Lepisosteus oculatus: one gene and its partners. The protein of the gene in region 2 interacts with the protein of the main gene of each other region in a biochemical or structural test. Links are inferred from orthologs where the notes say so. Each region holds a gene or a part of one and is shown on either strand. Other genes may lie near its edges. The genes, in order: ubr1, ube2b and rnf20.

Evidence for each region.
Region 1: the proteins of ube2b (region 2) and ubr1 form a complex in vitro, tested with the Homo sapiens proteins (2 studies listed by BioGRID and IntAct, with this or other methods). The link is inferred for Lepisosteus oculatus from reciprocal best matches to the Homo sapiens genes UBE2B and UBR1.
Region 3: the proteins of ube2b (region 2) and rnf20 form a complex in vitro, tested with the Homo sapiens proteins (4 studies listed by BioGRID, with this or other methods). The link is inferred for Lepisosteus oculatus from reciprocal best matches to the Homo sapiens genes UBE2B and RNF20.

What each region holds. Positions count from the first base shown.
Region 1 is NC_090703.1:18,756,698-18,764,260, forward strand, and holds the start of ubr1 (E3 ubiquitin-protein ligase UBR1), read right to left. Parts: upstream 3,097-7,563; 5' UTR 2,987-3,096; coding exon 2,942-2,986; intron 77-2,941; coding exon 1-76. Other genes in the region: atxn3 (ataxin-3), read left to right, coding at 5,160-5,183, 5,701-5,865, 7,340-7,384. UniProt on the Homo sapiens protein: E3 ubiquitin-protein ligase which is a component of the N-end rule pathway. Recognizes and binds proteins bearing specific N-terminal residues that are destabilizing according to the N-end rule, leading to their ubiquitination and subsequent degradation.
Region 2 is NC_090706.1:23,899,250-23,906,312, forward strand, and holds the start of ube2b (ubiquitin-conjugating enzyme E2 B), read right to left. Parts: upstream 3,019-7,063; 5' UTR 2,901-3,018; coding exon 2,857-2,900; intron 145-2,856; coding exon 64-144; intron 1-63. Other genes in the region: cyclin-dependent kinase-like 4, read left to right, coding at 3,512-3,539, 6,328-6,524. UniProt on the Homo sapiens protein: E2 ubiquitin-conjugating enzyme that accepts ubiquitin from the ubiquitin-activating enzyme E1 and transfers it to a E3 ubiquitin-protein ligase. In vitro catalyzes 'Lys-11'-, as well as 'Lys-48'- and 'Lys-63'-linked polyubiquitination.
Region 3 is NC_090701.1:42,019,836-42,027,169, reverse strand, and holds the start of rnf20 (E3 ubiquitin-protein ligase BRE1A), read right to left. Parts: upstream 3,066-7,334; 5' UTR 2,960-3,065; intron 1,616-2,959; 5' UTR 1,604-1,615; coding exon 1,442-1,603; intron 606-1,441; coding exon 438-605; intron 9-437; coding exon 1-8. UniProt on the Homo sapiens protein: Component of the RNF20/40 E3 ubiquitin-protein ligase complex that mediates monoubiquitination of 'Lys-120' of histone H2B (H2BK120ub1).

The DNA of each region.
Region 1 (7,563 bases), on a different chromosome or scaffold from region 2:
GGCAGTAGATCCTGGGCACCTGCTCTGCCAGGTAGCGCAGGAGCTCTGGACCAAAATCAGGCAGCTCCTTCCACATCTAGAAGAGAAAAGGCACATTTTTCCACAGCTTTGTTACTCAACTGTGACTTCTGTTTTTAAATGTTGAACAACGTATCCTGAGGCACTGAAGGTCCTGTATAAATCCTTGTGCCTCAGGGTTTATTTTGTGCACCTCAAATTGATGACATCAACGTTTTGCCAAAAATGGAGGTTTGGGGTTTTTTTACACGGGGGATTTCATCTAGTAAAAACTTGGCTAATTTAAATTTTGTATCTTTACCAATATGTTAATTTCCTTTTTAATCTTTTCCCCCAAATTCCACTGTTCCAAATATTTCAGCAGATATCCTAATCATTCCTGACTTTGAAAACCGAAAAACAAAAACATTAAATGATCCATGATCAACCTAAAATCAATCATTCAAGGTGACAAAATGAATTTAAATCAATAATGCATTTCCTAAAAAATGCTATAGTTAGAGCCATTGTTAATGTATAGATTTGAAAAACTTTACACGGTTATGGTGTCTCATAAAAGCATTCAGACACTTGCATTGTCTTCACAGTTTTGTTGTCATGACACACAAAACAGCCATATATATTTTTCTTCAACCTACTCCACACACAGTCAAAACAAAAACAAAAATAAGTAAATAATATGAAAGAATGATTGTATCACTTTTAAAACCTTTCTAGTGTGGCAAACTTAATTTATTTAGATATACAAAATTACCTTAGATCTCAGTCTGTGTACAGTAAAAGTTGTTCACATGATTTCAGAATAAATACACGCTGTAATATACCTCAGTCATGTGGTGAATTTCAAGGAAAAATCCAACCATCAAGACCAGGAGTTATCAACTCCTAAAGTTGTACAAAAGCACTAATCAGAAGAAAGGTATAAATGATATGTCTTTCAAATTACATATGCCCTTAATATGTCTTTGAGCATGGTGAAGTTGATTAAGAAGTGAAGGCAACCAGACAGTTGATAGAAAATGTCCATAGTTTAACAATATTCCAGTTATTCCACAAACCCTTGAATGGAATTGACATACTAACATCTAAAAAACCACAAGAACCTTTCAACTTAATATTTAACTGGTAATGCAAACATGTCACAAATAGTTTTATTGTCAGATAACACAGAATTTGACTTTTCAGGTCTAAATGCAGTGTTACATCTGACACAAACCCATAGTGAACCACTCAATAAACACCCCCACTGCAAAGCATGATGGTGGCAGCATCGTCTTATAGCTTCTCATCAAGAGAAACAGTGAAGTTTATCCGATAGGAACTGAGATGGAGCAAAGAACTGGCAAATCTTACAGGAAAACCTGCTTCAGACATAAAACTGGGATGAAAATTCATCTTTCAGCAGGACAATTAACCAAAGTAGAAGGCCAAAAAGGCAATTAGAAAGTGTATTCCCTATATTGAGTAGCCCAGTCTAAGTCTCGATAGAATTCTTGACTCAATAGGAATCAATAGCAAGGCTGCTGTCTGTGAGTAATCCAAAAGCAACATGAGACAACTTAAGCAAATCTGCCAAGAATGGGCAGGAATTGCACAAAGCTGGTGTGCTAAATTGGAAGAGACTTACCCAAAACCACTTGTGGCTGTGATTACTACCAAAGATGCTTACACCAAATATTAAGTTCATGGGTCTAAATATTTATGCATTATTTCATTGTTTGTATTACTTTATCTTGAATATTAAGTTTAAGAAATTGGTAGGCATCATTTTGTAATTTCATCAATGAAAAGGTAAAAATCAAACACCAATGAAAGGGCTTGAATACTTTTCCAAGACACTGCAGGTATATCCTAAATTATGATGTTCAAAAAGCTGTTTAGTAAATTCAGTAATTTACTAACAATCTTAGTTTAGTTAACTTTGTATGTCTGTATTTAGGTCTTTAGATTTTACAAATGTCACAGAAATTCACCTTTGTACTGTCAGTTTTCAAAGATGTTTCACAACAGTTTTGAAACGCTGAGAAAGTGTCCTTAAAGTGTGCTTCCTTGTAAAGCTGGATTTATCCAGAAAACAATACTGATATAAACAAAGTAAAAGTGAAACTCTGTGTTTAATTGGTAGTCCTCAAGTCTAGTCTACGTGGGACTTACGTATTAAAAATTAAAGCACATGCAATTCATGATTACAATAATTTCCGAGTTTTAGTTCTAAGATGTTGAGATGCTTCCAATAAATTTAACTAAGATTTGCTTACTTAAAAAAAACGAAGAAAAAAGTCATATTTTTCTTATGAATAGCGCCAAGTTTTCTGTTTTATTGTTTCGTTTTTATTCCATTGTATGATAATGAAATATATCACTTGCAATACTGTCACACGCTATTTTTCCTCTTATAATCCACAGAATAACAAAAACAATCAATAAAAGTTATATACATTTTTAAAATGTCGATCTTCTATGAGCGTACTTAACCACAAACTTCCGTCCCTTTCCAAACAGAATACTATTGATCTTTCAAGTATCACTACCATATTATTCAATGTTATTAACTACAAGCAGCTCTTGTTGAGTCTCTTGAAAAACCAATAAAACCCAAGATTCAGGTCGATTTTAAACTAGTGAGATCAGGCAGTGTCACTCTTGCACTTTTATTTGAAAAGCAATGCATTGTGAATTAAATACATATCCACTGTCATCTATTGTTTCCAATCCTGTACTGAGATCTTAAAAGAAAAATTAAATTGCAGCAGTTTGCTATAATTCCTTCAAGAAATCTAACCAAAATTCAACCCCAGGTAAGAAGAATAGTATTTGTAGAAAAGAAAAAAGCTAGTATCGAAGTAGTATACAAATCGAAGAAAAGAAATATACGCAATAAGTAAACGTAGAAAATTACCAAAATAAAATTAAATATACTCACCATACTGAGCTCTCGTTTTGTTAATGTCTCTTCACCTTCCGCCATCTTTCATCTGCCGTAATCTGTTACCAGGACAACGTGTGAGACAGGTCCCAAAACTGCTTTACGACATTGTGGCAAGCGACAGTATCTGTCTTTACACGGCATGGTTGTACGCAACATGCACACATACCAGTGCCTGTAATACTCCTAAGGCTCTCTAGAGACATGTACTGGAATAGAAAAGTAGAAAGGTACAGACTTCATAAATCTCACCTTACTACAACTGAAACTATATTGAGTACCGAAAGAAGCCTATTACTGTGCATGTTTGTCATTAAAAAAAATGAAGTATACTGATTTTGGATGTTGATTAAATGTTTATTTTCTTACTGCCAGCAGCCATATCATCTTGCAACTCACAACTGGCAACCCATTGAAGCTAAGCAGGTGTGAGCCTGGTCACTACCTGGATGTGAGACCTCCTGTGAAAAACTAAGGTTGGTGCTGGAAGAGGTGTTAGTGGGGCGCTCACCCTGCGGTCTATGTGAGTCCTAATGTCTAAGTATAGTGACGGGGACACTATACTGTAAAAAGGCACCGTCCTTCGGATAAGACGTAAAACTGAGGTCCTGACTCTCTATGGTTATTAAAAATCCCAGGGTGTTTCTCAAAAAGAGTAGGGGTGTTACCCCAAATGTCCCATTGGCCTCCTAATATTCCCCATCTATGAATTGGCTTCATCACTCTGTTCTCCTCCCACTGATAGCTGGAGTGTGATGAGTGTTCTGGTGTACTATGGCTGCTGTCACATCATCCAGGGTGGGGCTGCACATTGGTGGTGGTGGAGGGGAGTCCCCATTACCTGTAAAGCGCTTTCAGTGGAGTGTAAAGAAAAGCGCTATATAAATGTAAGCAATTGTTATTATTTTTTAATCATTTTGATTAATTCAAATTCACCTGGTGAAAATCAGTAATAAAAATAATAATACATGTAACAACAACGTTAATTTACAAAGCACCTTTCCAAACCCAAGGAAATTATTCATAGGCCCTAGTAGTGCATTTTACGCTTAGATTTGAAACAGACAGAGAATGTGTCTCTTGACAAGAAATGACATTCCATAACAATGGAGTAAGAAAAAGCACTGTCACCAAAAGTGTGATATTAAGTCCCGGGTTTAGTGAGCAAAAGATCTCGACTGAAAAGACTGTATGAGAAGGAGTGTAAACATAAAGCCATTCAGAGATGCATGAAGGAGCCAGATTATTTAAAGCCTCAAAGGTCATATTGAATACATCACTTGCCAGACTTGTTGCTTATTAAGTGAACATCCAACATTAAATATATGTTGGAATCCAGAAGTGGCACATCAGCTACTGTGACACAGAAAAGCATAATGATGAGGTAATTTTATCAAACCATCCAGCGACATGCCAGCAGGACAACACACACACACACTCCTTTTTCTGGGGTAATATTGCCTTTCAGAGATCACAATGACTAATAGCGCAATTCTGAATGTCCTACTTGCCAGACTTGAGCCCCCTTAAACATTTGCTGGATGAATTGGGACAAGAAGAGGCTTTTAAGGCTCAGAAACCATTGAACAGGCTCATGCTTATCCAGGCTCTACTAGAGGAACCCCACAAGACACCTGCAACCTGGTGCCAATCAGGCTTCTCAGAAGTACACCTTATATAGCTTCCAAACGTGGCCACACACTTCTGCCTGGGATTTTCACAAAAGAGCCTCTGCTGATAATACATATTAATCAACATTTAATAAAGATGACTACGTCTTAATAATTTCATTATTAAATAATGAATGCATATGATAGAACCTGTTACAAAACATTTTTTATTTACTTGATATCTTTGGCAGTTTGTTGCCGGAATAAATTTGATTATTTTATTACTTATGTTTGTTATATTGTTTTTGTCTAGAAGTATCTTTGCATTTTTTATTAAACTTCTTATTATTTTTAAATGTTTCTGAATACAAGTCGCCCCTACATTAAGTAAATATATATAATTTGATGTCAGAAATACTTAACTTTCCCGAGAGTTTCTCAGACTTTAAAAAAAAAAAGACAAAAAGGTCCTCATACTTCCGCTAGAAGACCCACCTACCGAACTGTTGTCACATGACGAACGATTTACTGATAGGCCGCGTTTGCATGACCCATCCCCCGGAAGGTCAAGGTTCAAAGTATGTTAGTCAACAGAAGGATCAAATATGGATTCCATTTTTCACGAGAAAGTAAGTCGTTTTGAAACATTTAATCCGATTCGGGGGGATTTAAATATATTAGTGTGTGGTTTGTCTGGCTACCTCAAACCGTGATTTTAATAAAACGAATGAATGAAACTTTAAAATTCTTCTGCATTTTCCTCTTTTAACTAGTGAAACCTCCAATGTTTATGTTCTTTAAAAGACTACTGTTTCTGCTTTGGCAAACTTCACTGGAGCAACGTACATGTATAAACGTGTTTAAAGTTATCTGGGAAATTCCTCGATGTATAACTGAGTCTGGTTTGGTTAGTTTTGCATATGCAGTAGGTATCGATCAGCTTCCACCACTTTTTCATATAATTCATATACATTTTTTTAAGTACAGTTTGCCTTCTTTAATTTCCATATTGTAGATGTAATCATGTGTGTAAGATGTCTTTGTATTATCATTGATTGCAGGGTGTGGCTGTCTAAAATCGTGTTGTTTGGTTGCTTAAAAAGTGAACTCCTTATTTTGAGTTGACTGTTGTACTCTCTGTCATAGCAAGAGGGCTCCCTTTGCGCCCAGCATTGTCTGAATAACCTACTCCAGGGGGAGTATTTCAGCCCTGTCGAGCTGTCCTCCATCGCACAGCAACTGGACGAAGAGGAGCGGATTAGAATGGCAGAAGGAGGAGTCACTAGCGAGGAGTATAGGACCTTTCTGCAGGTAACAGCACTGGGGCTTGGCCATTTATGGGGGGGGGCAGGAGAGCCCTTTTCAAGACTTTTGTCTTCCAATTCCAGCAATCTGAGCAAAATCAAGCAGGACCCTACAACTGTTATAAGTAATGTTACCATTAATTCTGAAACAATGAACTGAACTGTAGGGCAACAGGTTAACTCAGTTCTATCAGATCAGGTGAGCTGTGTTAGATTGAAAATGTTGCACTGTTATGGTGATAGATTGAACAGTTGGTTTTCCTCTGTCTCTAGAGACCCTGTGAGCAATCTGAGCAATCCCTTGAACTGATTCTTAAGGCCACTAGGAGCTCTGTTTGAATATTAACAGATATTGTGGGCAAATATTCTGATGGCCACACAGTGGGTGTACTTTTTTGTCTCACTGATTGTAACTGAGATACTGCTTTCTGGGACACTGCACATATGTGTCCTTCCTCTCCAAATTCTTCATGAACAATTTAATTCATAATGTGAGCTTGGAGGGTGGCACGCTGGAGTTTGTATGTTCTTCCTGTGTTCGTGTGAGTTTCCTCCAGGTGCTCCAGTTTCCTCCCACAGTCCAAAGATATAGTGCTAGGTGAATTGGCTTGTGGGAAAGTTGGCCCTGGTGTTTGTGTGTGCATGTTTGTGTTTTTTTCTGTGTGTGTCCTGCAGTAGACTGGTGTCTTGACCAGTTTCCCTTGATCCTGAACAGGATAATGGTTAGAAAATGGATGGATGTGAGCTCAGCATTCCTTATTAAGTTATCAATTATAGCCCGTTGCTTGCAGTACAAGCAAAATATAGACCAGACCCATTGTCATGCATATTAACAATAATAATCGCCAGGTGTTTACAGAGTCCTGTGGTGCACAGCTCGGGTCATTAATAGGCAGTTTAGTTCCTAGGGCATATTTGCTTTGCACTCTAAGTATCTTTAGGGGAACTACTTCTACCTGGACTACATTTAAATATTTAAGAGTTTGTAGTTCAGGTGGGTAGCTGCGTCAGCACGCGTAGGCTGCAAAGGAACAAGTAATAGGTTTATTCCATGCTGAAAAAAAGAAGAAAGAGAACACAACGTTTCGGCCGTGGAGCCTTCTTCAGGTGTGACACCTGAAGAAGGCTCCACGGCCGAAACGTTGTGTTCTCTTTCTTCTTTTTTTCAGCATGGAATAAACCTATTACTTGTTCCTTTAAGAGTTTGTGCTTGTCTGCTTTTTCGTATTCAATACCTTGGTTTTAGAATGATTTACACATGTCTTTAGAGGAGTGGAACAGAATGGCCTGCATCACAAGCATTGACTATGGTCTCACCTCTCCTGATGCCTATGAGTGATTGGCATTTCTCCTTCTGTAAAAGGAGATGTGACTATCCCTTCTATTTCAGGTGCTAGCTTATACTTCTACTGTTTTAGGACTCCTCTAGTACTTACTGATGACAACATGTATCTAGCTTTGTCTTTTTCCTGTTCTCACAGCAACCATCTGGAAACATGGATGACAGTGGCTTCTTTTCAATTCAAGTGAGTTTTATAAAGTTGCACAGTTTAAAAAAAAACTCAAATGTAAACTAAATATTAGAACCGGTGGATTTTCAGGATTTATTCTTATTCTTAATTTATTCATTTGACAGGTAACTTCATGCAGTTCTTGTGTCTTTCATAGAACATTATTAAATTAAAGGTAACTGTGTAGACTGTAG
Region 2 (7,063 bases):
TCCATCTGGCTTTCTACTAAAGTATGGGAAGCCCAGTAGAATATTACGGTTATTAAATCTCACCCAAATATCACTGCATTCCACAGCATGATGTTATTTTCTGATGGGGCACCACTGACTCCAGCAGGAGGATCTTCTTGAAGCCTTTTAAGACATAAATAATAGAGTTTTATACTGTAGGTGAAAATGTACTTTTAGGATTTAGTAATATTATAGAAAACAAGCTCCAAATCTGACCAGCCTAGAAAAAGCCTTGAAGGTTTTTTTTAAAAGGACTTGTTATAAGGCACATGTTTACCTTAATGCAGGTATAGAACAGGAAACAGGTCTCAGTAATGGATGGCTCTCTTTAATCTTAACCTTCTTGCAGAGCCTGGATTATTCAGTCTAGAGTTACCTTAAGACAAAACTGTACTGTATAAGCTCTATTTTGCCAGTAAAAAAGAATTAAAATGCTTGCTGGTTCTGGTCCTGTTTAAGATAAAGGTGGCAGATTCTATTCCCTAGCAGTTTAATCTTATTAGAAGTGTTAAGTATATTACCAAAGCTCAAAACAACACATCCACCAGAGACCGATGCACCAGAAAGTAATGACAATGTTAAAAACATTTGGTGATAATCCGAATAACCTGTGGCTTTAGGCTCCTGTTCTGCAGATGTCTGCCTGTCATCCCAGTGCATGACTATGATCACTTTCCAATATCTGATACCCCAGCTTCAAGGGACACGAATGATTACATCTTAACAGCAGCCGCCTTGAGTCTGTTCTTGTAAGGTTTCCAAACCACCTGCACCTCAAACAGGTGTCTAGCGCTGCTCTTAGCAAACAAAAAGAGCTCAGTCTCAAGTACAGGCTTCCACACGTGAGCCCTTCATCTGTCTGCTGTGATGACAGAAGGTTGATGCAGGTCATGCCTCACTGCTCCTGACTGCACTGTCAGACAGTGCCACTGCTGCCCCAGCCCCAGGGATTATCCTACTTCAAGATGGGCTCAATTCCCATCACAGAAGAAATTAAATAAAAAACAAACAACAACCACCCACAACAGGGAAACTGGATTTAAAAAAACTAGCATCAGATTCATCAAATTGTTTTCTGAAGGAAAAGATGATGCATTAGTCTGCAAAGGTACATTCAGCTGCATAACACTGTCAAAGATGAAGTGTTTCTTGTAAAACATAAATGTTGTACCTTCAGGCTTTGCGATACACTATTATATCAGGCATATATAAATGTTAACCAGCAAATATTCTTCTCCAAGATGTAAAGCCTGCTTTTAACTGAGTGGATTGAGAGATTCCAATGAAAAAATGTCATCAGCACATACAGTTGTTTTAAGGGGAGATGTGTTTCCCAAATGGCATTTTAGGGTCCAGGAAGAACAGCAATGCTCTTCTGTTACACTATGAAAAGGTTACATTTGTGTAAAAATGCTGCAAAAACATAGAGCCCTGTTTTTATTTATTGCTTATATCTAGTCCAATAATTGCATTGAAATTAAATTAATATATTTTTTTCACCCCACAATAAGGAAAATTGGATTTTGAAAACCAGCAGCAAGTTGTTTTCCAAAAGAAAAGCAGTTATCCAATTCTATAAAAGGTACCTTCAGTTAATGGATATATATATTGAAAAGGAAGGACCCAAAATTCAACACCAAGTGTGATACCACAAACTCACCTGACAAGTTACAACATCCCTTAGTTCTCAGCTAGTGGTACCCAGAAAGAAAGAGGGACTAGAAAAGTTTCCATTTTTTCCCCCCAAGTACTATGTACCATGAATTCAATTCAAGCTTTATTATGCTCTGGGTGAAATTTGCTTTACAAATGCAACAATACACCAAGGAAGACAAATATTACCAACAGAGAAGACGGTACAATGATGTTACAGGAGATAGGAGGGTTTTCTGCCCCGAAATTCAGCTTTTGATATTTTTACAATGATAACCTGTAGCATTATTAATAATATTGTAATTACAGTATAAAATCTAGTTAGACTGTATCGGCTACGTTTGGGCGTCGTTATCCAGAACCATAATAAAATAAGAGGCTCAGAGACGGCCTCCCTACAGCTTACGGAAAACTTCAATTTCTCCTGAAGAACAATACCCAGACTCCTGGAATCACAACACATCCTAGGGGATGGCCACACCAAACATTTCACCAAAAGACCGTTACATAACATTAAAGGGACACATCCTCTCTACTGCGAGTACCGACTTCTTAACCAAACCCAGCCCGTCTGCCCCTGTCCACCAAGGAATTATAGGGCACCGGCCAGTTTCTGGGTTTCAGGAAGAAAAAGATCCCAACTAAAAAACATGTGACCTGTACTTAACCTGAAAAGGTGAATCTACTGTCTATTGGTGTCGTTTAAAATCTAGTAATAGTGAAAATGAATTTCCAACAGCGTCCTGCTGTCATTGTGCGAGCTATTCTCCTTTATATAGTCATTTGACACAATCGAGGGGTGATATCACATTAGCTCAGCATTACCAGTGAATTTGGAAATATACAATCGCCGCTGAATTTTTGTATTGTGTTTACTGGGGGAAAAAAGCGTGAAAAGAAAAAAGGATATGCATTCTCTCGTGTGAGAAATTCAGGCACGGTTCTCGAAAAGGAACCTTTTTGCAAAGAAAGCCGAAAGAGTGGTTTGAAAGACAACTCGCTTTAATTAGTCCCCCACACCAAAAATATGTTCACCTTCAAGAAAAGCACCGATGCACCGCAGATATCGACCAGGCAGTCGAAACTTGAATACCTAAAAGCACAGGCCTAGCACTGCCGTACTGAATATTACTGTTGGGCAATGGAAAAAAAAAAAACAATGCTCAGAAAAATGGAGCTCACCTTTTAAAATCTCTCATAAGTCGCCTCCGGGCCGGGGTAGACATGGTTCAAAATGACAAATTCAGAAATTTTTAACCATAAAACCAAAGCCGAGCCGGTATATTTTTGAGCTAATTTCACCTCTTGTGCCTTTTTTTGCTCCTTCCAAACAACTAGGGTGACGTCATAGACCTCCCATAAAATAAAAGGTGACGAATCGACCGATTGGAATAGTCCAATTTTAATTTTATCTACAAAGTGAAAGGTGAACGGTTCATTTTAGATAAATGCGAATTAATTGTTATTAATCAGAAAAAGCCTTTAGAACTGTGTCCTCTTTATTCTGTTTACGTTAGTGGGGCTTATACATACATTTTTCAATTTTACGCACCACCCCTCTCCAGAATGAAGAGTTGGTGCGGCTTCCACAGAAATAAGACGCTGTAGCAGTTGGCTCAGTGGCATTAGAAGTGATGTGTGTTTTGGAGGTAGGGCTTAGGTGAGCGCAGTCTGTCTTTTTTGTGACTTCATTTGATATCATGTATAAGATATATAAATGTTTACATTTATATAATTCAGAATTTTTCAACCATAAAGCCAAAGCCGAGCCGGTATATTTTTGAGCTAATTTCACCTCTTGTGCGTTTTGCTCCTTCATACCAGGCCAAAAAACGAAATGCCTTTTTCCATAACAGCGGTGTTTGGTAGGTAATCATTATGGCCATTAATGGAAAGTAGATTATTTGGTTTAATTTCGCATATCCTACAGTATGCTTGGTATATTGAGCAAATTGTGCATGGCAAATATTTAGTAAACTGAAAAAAGTGCTTCACAATAAAGGTTAAGTCCAAATGGTGTTACATGTTGAGATCATGGAGAATAAAATTGGAATAACTTCGATCAATTTGTGAAGTGCAGTTAAGGTTTCAGTTACTATTTGGAAGTGGGGTAATTAAAGGGTTCTATTAACGTGACCAGACTTCCATCAACATAAATTGTTTTCTTCTAATATACGTTCGCATACAGAATATGTGTGTATATATCATAGGCTCACATACTGTACATGGAACAATGTGAAACTGATGAGTAAAATAACTTGAAACACCCAGTGTTGGTCCAGCATAGATCATGTTGTTTTCTTCCCATCAGAGTATGAGTACAGTTTCTAGGCAGGTGTTCTGAAAATAACTTTAAGAGAGTTAAACTGGAACCTGTAAATTGTGTCTTGAAAGTCTATACACAGGAATTGTTTGATTAATGGGTGTTGCAGAGGATGTGGCCTTCAAATACAAGGTCCTGAAGCTGGACCTTTTATTTGCAGATGTCATTGGCCAAAACAGACAGTTGCCTGGTAAACTGCTGCTTCTGCGGTGGAAGGCAGCAGTCAGGCCCCTGCAGCAGTTAAATTTGGGCTTTGCAAGAAAAGAGAGATCAATGTACGCAGTTGCACACAAACTCTAGGTGGCCTGAGGTTGTGCCCATGGCTTACACTACCAACATTTGGATGGCAGAGAAACTGCTTATATTGTTTGCAGCACATGGGCTACCAGAGGAAACTGTCAATGGGCTGCAGAAGATTTTTATTCATACTTTGGATTTTAAGGTTTTCCATTTCACATTTTTTCCCAGCAGCCTGGGAAGTTAAAAGGTAATCCCTGTATAGATAAGACACATTATAATATCAGCAGTGGCATGATCATTATTAATTATTATTATTTACCCACTGAAGCTAAGCAGGTACCTGGATGGGAGACCTCCTGGGAAAAACTAAGGTTGCTGCTCGAAGAGGTGTTAGTGGGGCCAGCTGGGGTCACTCACCCTGCAGTCCATGTGGGTCTTAATGCCCCAGTATAGTGATGGGAACACTAGACTGTGAACAGGCACCGTCCTTCGGAAGAGACGTAAAACCAAGGTCTTGATTCTCTGTGGTCATTAAAAATCCCAGGACGTTTCTCGAAAAGATTATGGAAGTAACCCCGGTGTCCTGGCCGAATTTCCCATTGGCCATTACCAATCATGGCCTCCTAATAATCTCCATTAATGAATTGGCTTCATTACTCTGCTCTCCTCCCCACTGATAGCTGATGTGTGGTGAGTGTTCTGGCATCATCCAGGTGGATGCTGCACATTGGTTGTGGTGGAGGGGAGTCCCCATCACCTGTAAAGCTCTTTGAGTGGAGTGTCCAGAAAAGCGCTATATTAGTGTAAACATTATTATTATTAATAATTGATTGATTGATTGATTAATTGATTAATTAATTAAGGTGTCCAGTAATGACAAGCCATGCCAAATGGGACGTGGATGGTAACTGAAAGCCTGGGCCTGTCCAGTGTGGCAGCGGTCCCTAGTCTCTTCTGTCGGTTGATATTTTTATATCTAGTGTATATATTTTTCTGTGTAGTGCCAGTGTTATGCTTTTCCCCATCACTTTGTGTGCCAACAGTCTTGACTCAGCATTGCTGTAGCTCTTTCTCATTCCTCTCAGATGAATTTTGTATTAACACAGCTCCTTTGGATTGATTTAAATTAAAAAAAGAGCAAATGTACTCTTGTAATCCACTGTATTTGAATGATAAAACAGTTCAGTAAATAAATCTACTGTGTACAGTATATTTATTCCCGATTAGGTCAAAATCCTCACAAGAAATTAGATTTTTGTATTGTATATACTTAAAACAGACTTAAAAAAGTCTGAAAGACCTACGTCTGATAGTATTGCAAACACTGCATAAATATCTAATTTTGACTTGTTGAATTAAGAATTCAATATATATGGATATATTAACTTAAATGTTGATTAAGGGAGATGTGTTAGCCTGCAAGCTAATAAGGTACAAAGAAAGGTTAATTATGCCCCCCAAAATACAAAAAAATAAATTAAAAAAACAATGTTTCAGCTTTTTGACAGTTCTGGAAAAGACTGAAGCATTCTTCTCTTACTTCTTTTCAGTGTAGAATTAACCTCTTTTTGTTCCTTACAATGTACACAAATGTATAAATTGAAAGAATGCTACTATCAACATTTTATCTTCAGTTTGTGCTCTGTTCTTCCTTTTACTGTAGTATTCCAGAATGTTTTTTCTCTATTGTGACTGTTTGGTTTGTTGTCATGGTAACTTCACTTCTAATTCTTAACTTTTCAGATTTCTGTAAATTGTTTCATGTGCCCAAATAACCTGTCAGGAGAGGTGCGTTATAATAGTAATTGTATTCCAGTTTACAAGATGAAGCTAAATAATGAGGAGTTTTCCAAAACATATATAGAAAAAAATGCAACCAGGAATAAAAGTGATCTGTGAAAATAAAATAAGCAGAAAAAGAAGAATACGCTGAAGGGCATTGTTTGTACTGCTATTTTATTTCATTGCTGAAGAGTAGGTAAGTAGTAAGATATGCGATTTTATTTTTCTCTGAAGTATCTGCAGTGCAAAGAAGAATGTCTGTGCTCTTTTTTAGGAGACAATACCATTTGCTCTGTTGTTGTGCATAGTTGTGATACACAGCCCATGCTCCGGTATGATGGATATGTATGAGAATCTTGGGATTGTGGGAGAGGGAAGCTATGGATTGGTCATGAAGTGCAAGCATAAGGAAACAGGCCACATTGTCGCCATCAAGAAATTCACCGACACAGAAGAAGACACGACTATGAAGAAGATAATCACAAGAGAAATCAAATTCTTAAGGGTAAGGAGAAACTACTGAGAACTAAATAATATTATCTCATGTATTGTGATAAGAAACCCAACCCCTTTGTTTTCTCCCATTTTTGGGGTGGGAGAAGGAAAGGAGGGGGGCTGTTTATTTTATGAATTTGTACCCTCAGAATTAGATTCACATTCAGTTTACAGCCCTGAAAGGAACCCACATTTCTTAATTTCCATAAGAACCTATATCTACCTTTTGTGATATCTGCTTTATTGCTTATATATCTCTGACATAAGGTATCTGTATTTGCACAAACCCAGTACCCCATATAGATCCATGTTTACTGTACATAAAAAAATGCTTCTAGATCACTGTCTAATAGTGGTATAAACTTAAAAGATGAAGCAGACAAAAGAGAAAAGTGAAATATGGCTTTCCATGGGTCATCATATGTCTAGCAATTTTATGTCCTTGACATAAGAGTAATGATCTTTATTTTTAAAGGGGCAGGGTTGTTTAGTGACACTGTACAATGAACAAAACAAGTCACCCATATCTTTCAAACACATATTTGTAAT
Region 3 (7,334 bases), on a different chromosome or scaffold from region 2:
TCGTCGAACTGAGGGGGGGGGGGCGGGAGAGTGGCAGGTCAATACAGGCGCACTGAACGTACCAACAGGTCCAACCGCAGGCACACTCGTATCCAGAGGCTGGGCGCGATATACACAGCGCGATATACACAAAAGGATACACAGATGGATAGCGCGCATATCATGAGGACTGTCTAGACCATCTGCTTCATCTGCATTGGCAAACATTAATGCAAACATAAGCCACACGCAGGATATAAAGTCCAGAATCGTTATTAAATATTGAGCAGAAACCACAAAAGGCCCCAGCATTCCAAGTGTAGCATGGCCACACCTGAGCATCACGGGCATCTTTTCCAGCTGCTGGAAACTGAGCCTCTCATAGCCACAGTGGTGTGTGAGCAGCACCTGCCGATGGACCGGCGTCAGGGCACGCCCTGAGCAGCGTGGAGCATTACCTGGTTCCAGTAGCGGTTCAGGATGAGCAGACTGGCATCATCAGTTGCTTGCCGTCTCTCCAGCCTCTCAGCTCGATCTCGCAGCTCATCCTCAATCACCTGCCTCTGGTCAAGAGCCTCTCCCAGCTTCCTGTTCTTAACCTGGAGAGCTCGGATATCCTGCTCCTCCTGAGAGAGAGAGGGGTTAATACAGTCCAGACACACTGACTGGACACTACAGGACATTAACACTGCACTGAGAGAGAGGGGTTAATACAGTCCAGACACACTGATTGGACACTACAGGACATTAACACTGCACTGAGAGAGAGGGGTTAATACAGTCCAGACACACTGACTGGACACTACAGGACATTAACACTGCACTGAGAGAGAGAGGGGTTAATACAGTCCAGACACACTGACTGGACACTCCAGTACATTAACACTGCACTGAGAGAGAGGGGTTAATACAGTACAGACACACTGACTGGACACTACAGGACATTAACACTGCACTGAGAGAGAGGGGTTAATACAGTCCAGACACACTGACTGGACACTCCAGTACATTAACACTGCACTGAGAGAGAGGGGTTAATATAGTCCAGACACACTGACTGGACACTACAGGACATTAACACTGCACTGAGAGAGAGGGGTTAATACAGTCCAAACACACTGACTGGACACTACAGGACATTAACACTGCACTGAGAGAGAGGGGTTAATACAGTCCAGACACACTGACTGGACACTACAGGACATTAACACTGCACTGAGAGAGAGGGGTTAATACAGTCCAGACACACTGACTGGACACTCCAGTACATTAACACTGCACTGAGAGAGAGAGAGGTTAATACAGTCCAGACACACTGACTGGACACTCCAGGACACTAATACTGCACTGAGAGAAATGTGTAACAAGACGTCTTCACAATATCAGTCTGGTAGGAGACAGTGTATGGACAGCTGACAGAGCCAGGGTGATGGCCTGATGTTGGACAGGGGGTGGGACTCACAGTGTTGGACACTCCCCCCAGCTTGATGACCGTCTCCACAGCGGTGCTGCCGCCCGCAGCTCCCCCGTCCTCCGCCTCCCTCTCCCCCTCCCTCTCTCGCTCCCGCCGCTTCTCGGGGGGCCCGGAGGTCAGGGGGTCAGCAGGGCGCTTCAGCCCCGACATCGCTGGCCCAGCCTAGGACAGAGAGCAGGTCAAGATGGCGCCGGCGCCAAGCTGCGGCACGTATCCCACGGTGCACCGGCCCGCTCCCAAGATGCAGCTGGGGCAGGAAGTGCTGCAGGCGTGAGACTTTCTCAGCCTCTCGCCCAGACGCGACCGCAGGCCTGTCCGCCTGAGCCAGAGGAGGAGACACACTGCTCTCCCTGGCAAGCCTGGTTTCTCCACACCTTGGCCCAGCAAAGCCCCTTCCTAGACTCGAAGCAACAAATAAAAGCAGAGTTGAAGTCTCAGGACTCAACCACTCTTCCCGGCACAGAAGCTCAGGGAATCTCTGAAACTCGTCCGATTCAGTTTCTGTTGATTGCGACGGCGTCTCAGATCAGCCCCCTAGTGTGGGGCGTTTTAAAGACATTGGGGTGTCAAGTTGTTTAAAGTCCTCTGCCTGCTGCCAGGGGCCTCCTGGAGAATCTACCTGCGTCCCTGTAACAGCCGATAAACCCCACAGGGCAGCTCAAACGCCACATCCTGCTCGCTCCAGTGTCCGGAGAGCACAAGAGAGCTCAGCTCGAGTGAAGACCCGGAGAGCCAGTGAAAGAAGCTCAGCTGCAAACTCCAGAGAGCCAGAGAACACAGCACCATCAGAGTGATGCGCAGAGACAGGGCCGATACAGAGCCAGGACTGGAAAAGGGCTTTCTGGCCTCTGGATGGCCTGAAGTAGTCTCTGTTGGGAATCAGGATCAGGAATACTCCGAATGAAGGGAGACTCAGCTTCCTTGCACATTCAGACAGATAAACTCTCTTGATGGAGGGCACACACGCCCTGAGTGACTACACACCCCAGAGCTGGTGACATGCTCCATTATAAGAAAGTCTTGAGCATAGCTGGTTGAGCAAACCAATTCAAGACTCATTTCATGAAGTGGCTGCAGGTAGGACAGGCAGGCAAACTCCCACTGCCCAGCAGTCTGCGCCTCTCCAGCGTTAACCTGCTGCAAGCTCTTGTACAGATGAGAATTAATTTCGCTGTCTCTGACAGAAGCCGGGGAGCCCCAGTAATTTTACTAACAGGGAGAGCGGTGAGCCCCGGGAAGTTTACTAACAGGGAGACCGATGAGCCCCCGTAGTTTCTCTCTGCTGGAGAGAGCAGTGATCTCTAGTAATTTTACTATCTAACGCAGAAAATCTTTTATATCAGCACAGAAAGATGCTGATATAAACTCAGCGCTACACCCAACACACAAACACACAGCTTACACACACGTACACCACTACACGACCAGGGCAACTACACAACACTAACGTTATCTTCTCATTCACCTCCTGCGCTAAAGTCACTCATAGCGTCTTCGTTTTCTTACCGAAAGTTCTCCCGAAGTCTTGCCTTTAACGCCGGTCTCAATGATTCATGTTTTAGATTTGTGTACACCTCCAGCTCCCACCCTCTCTATCCCCGTCTCCTGCTTACGGAAGCGGAAGTTAAACCACAACCTGCTTTATTTGTTGGCGGGGCGCTGTGCGCGGCTCTCGGGACGGTATCGCGCCACCTGGTGGTGGGAGGTCATATCGGCCTGGGCAGGGCCTCGATTACTGTGGGATCACCTCAACTGATAATACTGCTCCTGTGACATTATTATTAGTATTACACTTCAGCTGGGTAGCTGCGTCAGCATGCTTAGGCTGCGAAGGAACAAGTAATAGGTTTAATCCATGCTGAAAAGAGGAGAAAGAAAACCCAACGTTTTGGCCGTGGAGGCTTCTTCAGGTGTGAGCTTACACACACACCCTCACACCTGAAGAAGGCTCCACGGCCAAAACGTTGTGTTTTCTTTCTCCTCTTTTCAGCCTGGAATAAACCTATGACTTGTTCCATTATTCTTATTATTGGTAGTACTAACGGAGATATAAATCAGGTGGCACAAGCGGTTAGCCTTGTTAAGACCATGGATTTAATTCCTGGGGTGCTGTCTGTGTGAAGTTGATATGTTCTCCCTGTGTTCATGCTGGTTTCCTCCCACAGTCCAAAGACATACTGTCAGGTTAATTAGCTTCTGGGAAAACAGGCCCTGGTGTGTGTGTGTGTTTCTGTGTGCACTGTGATGGACAGGTGTCCCATCCAGGGTGTGCTGTGCCTTTCACCCACTGCTTACTGGGATAGACTCCGACTCCCCCACAACCCTGAACTGGAGTACTTAGAAAATGGATGCAAGAAGAAAATTATATTTATTTGATGTGAATCCTCAGTGTGTCACTATAGCGCACTGGGCTACACTCTGACAGGAGTGCTCAGTGTGTCACTATAGCGCACTGGGCTACACTCTGACAGGAGTGCTCAGTGTGTCACTATAGCGCACTGGGCTAAACTCAGACAGGAGTGCTCAGTGTGTCACTGTAGCGCACTGGGCTACACTCTGACAGGAGTGCTCAGTGTGTCACTGTACCGCACTGGGCTACACTCTGACAGGAGTGCTCAGTGTGTCACTGTACCGCACTGGGCTACACTCAGACAGGAGTGCTCAGTGTGTCACTGTAGCGCACTGGGCTACACTCTGACAGGAGTGCTCAGTGTGTCACTGTAGCGCACTGGGCTACACTCTGACAGGAGTGCTCAGTGTGTCACTGTAGCGCACTGGGCTACACTCAGACAGGAGTGCTCAGTGTGTCACTGTAGCGCACTGGGCTACACTCAGAGAAGGTCTGATCTTCCCTGTCGAGGAGTCTAAGTGAAAGGCAAGCCAGGACTGTTCCATACAGAACCATACCTTTGACGCCTCATAATAATCTTCAACTCATTGCATAACCAGACAGCTACTTAATAGACAGAGAAATTAATATCAATTCAGTCCTGCATCAAACTGCAGCACGGTATCTTTCTGGAAGCTAATACTTCAGCTGTGGGTCAGGGTTCACATTGTGTAACTTTCTCTTATCTGCAGTGCTTGGAAAGATAGCACTGCCTGACTGAATCATGGAGCAATTTCTGGGTAAGAATGATTAGATCTGGGAGTTAAATCTTAACCACATTCATTGTGGTCTGTGTTTCAGTCTAGGGAGATGTGGCCATGTTTGTCTCTTTCTGTACTGAACTGTGTATTTATAATTTAGTTAATCAATCTTTATTGGCTCTAAGGGAATTTGTCTTGCAGATCAAGAGCTCATAAAAATATAACATACTATATACGACATAAATACAATGCAACAACAGTACAATAACATGACACAAAACAACATTTATCAACATCACTCAATGAGAACTCTAGGAATATCATTTACATTTCCAGCATGTACATGTACACTCAGTGGCCAGAATATTGGGAACCCTGAGTCAAAATGAACAGATTCATAGCAGGCAGTGTGTCTGATCTTCACAACCACTGCTCACACCTGCCCAATCAGACACTCTACTGCTCACACCTGTTATCTGAGACACTGCACTGCTCACACCTGTTATCTGAGACACTTCACTGCTCACACCTGTCATCTGAGACACTCCACTGCTCACACCTGACATCTGAAACACTCCACTGCTCACACCTGACATCTGAGAGACTCCACTGCTCACACGTGTCACCTGAGACACTCCACTGCTCACACCTGCCCAATCAGACACTCTACTGCTCACACCTGTTATCTGAGACACTCCACTGCTCACACCTGACATCTGAGACACTCCACTGCTCACACCTGCCCAATCAGACACTCTACTGCTCACACCTGTCACATGAAACACTCCACTGCTCACACCTGTCACCTGAGACACTCCACTGCTCACACCTGACATCTGAGACACTCCACTGCTCACACCTGCCCAATCAGACACTCCACTGCTCACACCTGTCACCTGAGACACTCCACTGCTCACACCTGTAAGAAGATATATCTTCTTGTGTTCTTTAGATAGATGATAGATACTTTATTGACCCCATGAGGGAAATTTAGTGTAGTTTCAGTCCTGGGTGCTTGTTTGTGGAGCTCTGACAATTCAATCAAAGCCTTACTTTTCAAACCCGTGCTGTCCGTCCATGTAGAGAGCAGCCTCAATAAAGGCACCAGTGACAACCAACGTTGTCCTCTTGCTGCTCTAGCCTGATTGGGACATGTGCGTGTTGTTTTGGCTCCTCTTGTTTCCAGTATTTCCTGTTTCCACTGCACTGCTGTATTCTGTCTGCCTCTTGCCAGTTCCAGAGGGCAGCATGGTGGGTGTCTGGGATTGTGGCTTCGAACTCCTGCTGCGGACACTGCAGTTGTACCTGGAGGGAGGGGCTGTACCCCAGTGGAAAGGTGGGGACCAGCCCTGCTGGGGAAAGGCTCTGTGACGGGACCACGTGCCCTCTGAGGGCTCGATGCCATGGAACGTGGGATGAGCTCTGACACAGACAGCACAGTCGGTGTTTCAGTCCCTTCACTCAACACACATGAGCCTGCGCGTGGGGACCCCAGCTGTCTGCCCAGACACTGCTTTGAGAGACAGGACAGGCACCACCAAGCTGGGGTACACTAGGAGCACCCCAGTATCTGTCCTTACCCATGTGGGGATGGCTTACGTAAGAGGATTTACAGGTGAAGGGGAATCTATCTTTCTGGGGCCAAATCTCTCTCCTTCTCCCAGTTACACCTGTTACCCCCTGTTACAGCCTGCCTGCCTTTCCTGCACACAGAGACTGAGGGGTTAATACAGTCCAGACACACTGACTGGACACTACAGGACATTAACACTGCACTGAGAGAGAGGGGTTAATACAGTACAGACACACTGACTGGACACTACGGGACATTAACACTGCACTGAGAGAGAGGGGTTAATACAGTCCAGACACACTGACTGGACACTACAGGACATTAACACTGCACTGAGAGAGAGGGGTTAATACAGTCCAGACACACTGACTGGACACTACAGGACATTAACACTGCACTGAGAGGGGTTAATACAGTCCAGACACACTGACTGGACACTACAGGACATTAACACTGCACTGAGAGAGAGGGGTTAATACAGTCCAGACACACTGACTGGACACTACAGGACATTAACACTGCACTGAGAGGGGTTAATACAGTCCAGACACACTGACTGGACACTACAGGACATTAACACTGCACTGAGAGAGAGGGGTTAATACAGTCCAGACACACTGACTGGACACTACAGGACATTAATACTGCACTGAGAGAGAGGGGTTAATACAGTCCAGACACACTGACTGGACACTACAGTACATTAACACTGCACTGAGAGAGAGGGGTTAATACAGTCCAGACACACTGACTGGACACTACAGGACATTAACACTGCACTGAGAGAGAGAGTTTGAGAGATGGTGCTGTAAGGAAGGATGATGCAGTACTCTGTCTGGGTTGTGGGGCAGGATGGGCAGGGAGTGAGAGGAGATACTATGTGTTGGAGATATAGTGAGATAGAGAGAGCTGGAAAGATACAGAGAGAACAGAGGGAATTCAGCACAATAGCAAGGTTTGAATTCAGCCTAGTGTGTTTACTGCTGTGTTTGTTCCACAGAGTGCTGATCTTTGCTCCCCCAGTCAGTGAAATCAGCCAAGCCCAGCGTGAACACTGCACTCTGACAGAGTGGAGCTGCAGCTGGCCATTAACACTCCTGTTCTAACAGGACTGCTCTACTGTACTGGGACTGTAGCTCCTATTGTAACAGGACTGCTCTACAGTACTGGGACTGTAGCTCCTATTGTAGCAGGTTGCTCTACTGTACTGGGACTGTA